2 linked regions of the Caenorhabditis elegans genome follow. The protein of the gene in region 1 interacts with the protein of each later gene in a pairwise test. Each region holds a gene or a part of one and is shown on either strand. Other genes may lie near its edges.

Region 1 (3,372 bases):
GAGGAAAATCAAGGAGAAGACGAATCTATTTTGACACTTGGGCAGCTACGCGATCGAATCGCCACCGACAATGATGTTGATGTTGAAACCATGAAGTTGTTGCACAGAGGTTGTTTCTGATTTTTTGGAATAATGAGACAAAGTATTTTACAGGAAAGTTTCTTCAAGGCGCCGACGATGTCTCCCTTTCTACTTTAAATTTTAAAGAAAATGATAAAATCATTGTGATGGGTGGAAAAAATGCTTTGGTTGATGACGCGGGCTTCAAAATGCTCATGCAATATGAGAAGCATAATTTGAGCAATCTTCAAAAAGCCTATGATCTCAATTTGAGAGATGTCGCTGATTTGGAACGTGGTTTTCTCGAAAAACCAAAGCAGGTCGAGATGGGGAAAAAGCTGGAAAAGAAAGTGAAATATTTCAACGAAGAGGCGGAAAGACATCTGGAAACTCTTGATGGGATGAATATTATCACTGAAACTACTCCCGAAAATCAGGTGTGTCATAATTTTATTTTGTACTTTGAATAAGTTTTCGATTCAGTTCAATCAACTTTCAGGCTAAGCGAAACCGTGAAAAACGCAAGACGCTCGTAAACGGAATCCAAACTCTTCTTAATCAAAATGACGCACTTCTTCGGAGACTCCAGGAATATCAGTCAGTTCTCAACGGAGACATTCCTGAATAATTCTCAATTGCATAAAATTGCTTCGGGTTTTTATGTTATGAAACTCAGTTATAAATCAATAAATTATATTCTTATGCTATGTATCAAAGGGAGGAAAAGGGGCAAAACAACTGACGGGACCCATTAAAATGAGAAGGCTGCTAATTACAAAAAAAAGAGCAATGGTGTGAAAAAATTAATAACGAGTTCTTTTATCATTGAAAAATGATTTGAGCAGGAAAACTTGGCCAATTCCAATGAATACTACGACGGCAGATTGACCAAGGGACCAGATCATCACGCGCTCGTTGAGTTCTTCTGCACGTTTGCGACCAGTTGCTTCACGGAGACGATGATGAGTTTGATAGTCATCAATCTACAAAAAAGTTTATAAGTATGTCAAATGTCGGGTGAACAACTTTTTTAGTAAGCTCCCAGCAAAATAGAGTTGGAAAAATGAACGAATTCATAAAATTCGAAAAAGTTACGTTTTGAGCATTTTCTAATTGTAAAAATAAATCTTTTTAAATAAAAATCTTACTGTTCTCAATTTATCTCCAATAGCGACTGCATAATTTTCTAATTGAGTCATTGCATGAGCTCCTTGAGTAACGGCAGCATGAAGAGCATTTTGATCACCGAATTGCCAATCCATGTAAACGATTTTATGAGAGAATGTGGAGAATTCATTTGAAAAGCATGCTTTGTATGTTCCTTCAACTTCGGCCTTGAAGTTGATACTGTCGTACTGCTTTTTAGTATCTTTATACAAAACTTTTCCATTTGGATCCTCAATGATCAAGTCTACGTCATAATGGCCTCCAGTAACAACCTGAAATTATCAAATTATTACAGTTTCTACGATTTTCAATTGAAATACTAACTTGGAATTCAAACACTGTGTCAACATCCTTTTTCAGATCTTCATAAAAACACTGATTTGCGTTGTCTGGAAGTTCGAATGTCAATTCGATTGACAGACCTAGGGCCACAAGAATTGATGAAACTATGACAAATTTGAGCATGATCTTGGCTGAAAAGTTGAAATATTTTTACAAATTTATTCGAATTGGATAAGAAGCAATACAAAATTATAATTATTCTATTAATAGAGAGAAAACGTGAAAAGGAGAGAAATTCGACGCATGGAAAATGCCAACAGAACACTAGTTCAAAGGGGCGCACTTGCAGCGCACAATATTTATATTTAATTATACAATAAATATATTATAAATAGAACATAAAATAGAACACATTAGAACATTGCACATTTTGTGCTCAATTGTAAGAGAAGGCTAAATTCATTATTTTGTATTAAATATTAATATCAATAAAATATTCACAAATTGACAGAATAACTTCAACGTAATAAAAGAAATTGGTGTAAAATGCAACATTTTTATTTATTTTCAATAGATAAATTAGCTAAAAACTAAAATTCATCAAAAGAATCATTAGAACTGCTTTCCTCAGATAGATTCAGTTTACTATTAGCTGGTACAAGAAGTGCTCCTCCTTTCCCGCGACCTATTCCTCTGGCACGAGTTACACGTTTCACAGCTGTTTTGCTCTTCTTGATTTGTTTATCAACTTTCTTTTCTTTTGACATTTCATTGTTTTTCATAGTTCCCGCTACACGTTGTCCAATTTTGTCCAGCGCCTCGACAATTTTTTTCGACCATTTTAGTTCGAGAGAACTATCCAATTTCTGTGCGAAAAATCGGTCTAATCGCATTTGGCTTTGTCCACCGGATTTTAGAAAATTATTCCATTTTTCGAAAGCGTCAAATGAATTCTGCTCTTCGTTGTGCTGTTTGCGATCAGGCCATTGAAGGCGTTGATGAAGAATTCGACGGATCAATGGAATATTCATCTGGCGCCATCGAAGTTTTTCTGATGATGAATCAACGATGGGATGAAGGTAGGCATGCACAGCGTCTTGATTAGAGCACACCTGAAATTGAATTGAACTATTAGGAATTTAAGAGAAACATGAGTTTCAGTATGTTGTTTTGTTTTCAAAAATCTAAAAATAAGTACACATTTGATATTCTCCATATCGTTTGCTTCAGTTACATGTCTTCTCAACATCATTGCATTTCGACTAGCAACTCGTTTATCATCCGGAGCAGTTAAGAACAAACTTTCCACGTTTTTAAGGAGCCTCATGATCTGAAACTTTTCATAAGGGACTCCATCACATGTGTAATTATCTTACCCTGTTCTCAATGACTTTAAGATCATTTGTATTATCAATCCTACATTCAACATACTCGGACACCAGTTCAAGTGCACCAATGGCTCCAACTTTTACAAGTCCTGCACAATAATCACCCCCAGAGAGCAGAGCAATTGAAATGTAGTCCTCACGTTGGAGACCTAGATTTTTAGAATTCAGGAAATATTCTAATGTTTGCCATAAATCTTACAAAAAAGTTTGCAATTATCTCTATTCGCTGTTGTCTGCTCTCCATATCGTTGTACTCTCCGATTCTTAGAAAACATATGACGATATACATGTTGTGCTCCAAACGCCCACACATCACTATCATCACTAACGACACCATCAACTAATCCAAGTCTCTCCAGCTCAACACATTGAGCTTCCGCTTCACCAGGCGATTCGATCCACGGAATGCCTGCATTTGTAAGAAATTCTTGAAGATCACGATATAATTCAGGCGTCTTATCATCCTCATCACTAT
Region 2 (3,038 bases), 3.1 Mb from region 1:
AATGAGGGTCGTAACACACAAAACGAATGTGCGAAATGTATTTGAAAAGAGAAAATAGACTGATGTTTTTGGCCTGCTCGCGGTGCAATGCAAGCAATGCTCACTGCGAAAAGAGCAATCTGCTCTATAAAAAAAACATTTCGGATCACACAAACTGTTTGGGTGCGAGCAAATACGTTGAATAGAGCGAGTGAGCTGTGATTTCACAAAAGTTGTCAAACATTCATTCAATTAAAAAAAAAATGTTTGAATATTTTTGAAGATCGTATTAACCGAAATTTTGCGATTTTTACGCCAACGGTACAGTGCCTGGTCTCAACACGACACATTTTTGTTCAAGGCAAAGAGGTGTGCGCCTTTAACGAGTACTGTAGTTTCAAACTTTCGTTGCTCCGGAATTTTCATAGATTTTTCTTGTTTTTTTCGGATGTCGTAGTTTTGGCGCAAAAATCACTTCTCTTCGAGACCAGGACTTGAAATGAGATACACTATATCAGCTACCGTACTCGCGATTCTTGATATTTTCAAGAAGCTTTCCCAGTGTTTCGGAGCATATTCCTTCAATCCAAGAAAGTTTATCCACTATTCATCTTTATTGCTTTTATTCAAAAAGGAAAGATGCGGGAAAAATAGAGGGCTTGGGTACTCAAATGTACATTCTATTGCTATGTCCGCGGACATGCTCGAACTCGACAGTCTGTAATTTTTAATTATTTCCATTAAAAAGCGGTGTTTTATGAATTATATATAATAATTATAATCTTACCTTTCCACTATGCTTGAGCGCTTGAACATTGCGGTCGATATCTCTGATGAGATCCTGATTCTTCACATCTTGTCCCGAAGAAGTTTTGTAGCCATTCGACTTCCAGTTGTCATTCCATTTGGTGACAGAATCCTTCGCGTTCTTGGAATCAGTGTGGATTCTCACGTGGCTGTCTGGAACATCACGAGCCTGAAAATGCAGAAAATTGAATGTTGGTACGAATGTTTGAAAATTACCATTTGGGTGGCGTGCTTGATGGCTTCCAGCTCATATCGATTGTTGGTTTGTGGTCCGTGTGGATAAGAGCCACTCACATTCTTCGATGTATCTGAAATATGTTCAAATAAGGAACAATTAATTGCACAAAAAACCGTACCACTTGGAACGTGAACTCCATAGCCTCCTCTGGAGCCTTGTTGGCCGTTTCCGAGAGCGGAACCGTCGGTGTAGAAGTCGTACGGCATTTCTTTAAAATTTCAGTTCATTTGATAGGAAAAAAGCATGCGAGAGAGAAAAGAAGAATGAAAACGGAGATCTTAATAAAAACAAAATGATGATATGAATTGTTTCGCAGAAGAAAGCAAACTTCTGGAAATTCCCGGGAATTAACAAAACAAAACAACAATAAAGCGAACATTCTAGAAAACATTTTTTTTGTTCTCCGCGGGTACTGTATTTGAGTCGCGGCGAGACCCTTCTATGAGACAGTTTGTGCGAATGAGAGACCGAGAGATCAGTCTCGTTCCGTTTTAAAATTTTCCTTGGAATTTAATTGTATTTCCAGTTTTTGTTTAAAAAAATTTATTTACTATAGAGAATATTAACGAAATTTAAGTTCAAAAAATGCAATAATATCACATTACAATCATAAATTAAATTATATAAAATACTTTGGCATTCAAGAAACAAGTAGTAAAACATGGGAATTTATTTATTCTTTGCCTGGAAGGCTCTAACAGCAGCTACTCTTTCAACAACTGGAGGATGTGTGTGAGTGCACCATGAGTAGAGTGAGTCATTGATAGGCATCGACAGATTGTCAACACCAAGCTTGGTCAAAGCTCCAATAAGATTTTCTCCGTGTCCGAGGTTAGCAGCAAACTCGTCAGCTCCAAATTCAGCAGAACGGGAGTGAATAACCATTCCAATACTAGCGAGTTGATTGTAGAGAGCGAGGACAAATTGGAAGATGAGCATCATGCCAATGACTGGTGGAGTATCGTGATAGCCGAATCCCTGAAAATTAAAATTTTAAGAATTTAATGGTTTAAATATAATTACTTGATAGAGGGCTTCCCATTTATAAAAGTATCCAAAAACTGCAAAAGAGAAGAACAAGTTGACTTCAGCTGAAAAATTCTACGTTTTGCTGTGAGTTCAGTTAAATCAACTTACTGATGACAAGATTGATCAAAGTGTGCCATAAAGCCCAATGACCCAATTCATGGCCCAGAACGGCCACAACTTCATCGTTGTTCATTCCTCTCTTTTTGTCGTTTTCAGTTTCTTCGATTTTCTCTCCAGCTGCCACATACAATTCATGTACTTTCTCCTTTTCAGCTCCACTTAGCAAAGTATCATAGAGCACAATGCGCTTGTTCTTCCAGAATCCATACATGTAAGCATTGGAGTGAGCCGAGCGTTTTGAGCCATTGACAACGTAAAGTTCAGTTAATGGATAACTGAGAGAAGCAGCTAATTGTTCAATTTTCGTCTTGAGATCTCCATCAGGCAATGGGAAATATTTGTCGAAGAGTGGAGCGATGAAAGTTGGATAAATGGTCATCAAAAGTAGCACAACAACAGAAACAAATAACCAAATATAGACAAAGAAGTATGGTCCACCATTGACAATAATCCATTCAATTCCATAAACGATTGGCATAGTGAGAGCAAATCCGACGAGCATTTTCTTAATTTTGTCAACGAAATAGAATCCAATAGTTTGTTTATTGAATCCATGGGCATCTTCGATAATAAAAGTGGAATATAGATCCCAAGGTAAATCGATGATTGTTTCAATTATTGAGTTTATTGAGAGAAATACAGCCACATGCAATGGATAACTAGCCGTTGCGTACCAAAGGAATGGATAATATCCTCCAATCAATTGTGCCTGAAAATTATTTTTTCATTTAAAGTAAACTTCAGCAGTCACTAACCGTGAGGAGAAGCTGATTAAACCAACTATGGAAGAATCCGAATAAATGATTATCAATTTTATAGTCTCTGGCCTTCTTATAATCTTCTTCTCCAATAAGTTCTTTGACTT

What was found.
Region 2: the proteins of tmed-3 (region 1) and rnh-1.3 interact in a two-hybrid assay, tested with the Caenorhabditis elegans proteins (one large-scale study listed by BioGRID).

Annotation. Positions count from the first base shown.
Region 1 is NC_003279.8:6,561,027-6,564,398, reverse strand, and holds tmed-3 (GOLD domain-containing protein), read right to left. Parts: upstream 1,701-3,372; 5' UTR 1,693-1,700; coding exon 1,552-1,692; intron 1,500-1,551; coding exon 1,209-1,499; intron 1,044-1,208; coding exon 864-1,043; 3' UTR 739-863; downstream 1-738. Other genes in the region: bag-1 (BAG family molecular chaperone regulator 1), read left to right, coding at 1-109, 154-497, 560-688; xpg-1 (XPG (Xeroderma Pigmentosum group G) DNA repair gene homolog), read right to left, coding at 2,100-2,621, 2,708-2,839, 2,886-3,046, 3,097-3,372.
Region 2 is NC_003279.8:9,709,514-9,712,551, forward strand, and holds rnh-1.3 (RNase H type-1 domain-containing protein), read right to left. Parts: upstream 1,233-3,038; 5' UTR 1,231-1,232; coding exon 1,143-1,230; intron 1,095-1,142; coding exon 1,003-1,094; intron 956-1,002; coding exon 767-955; intron 698-766; coding exon 647-697; 3' UTR 575-646; downstream 1-574. Other genes in the region: fce-1 (CAAX prenyl protease 1 homolog), read right to left, coding at 1,694-2,002, 2,048-2,115, 2,162-2,882, 2,929-3,038.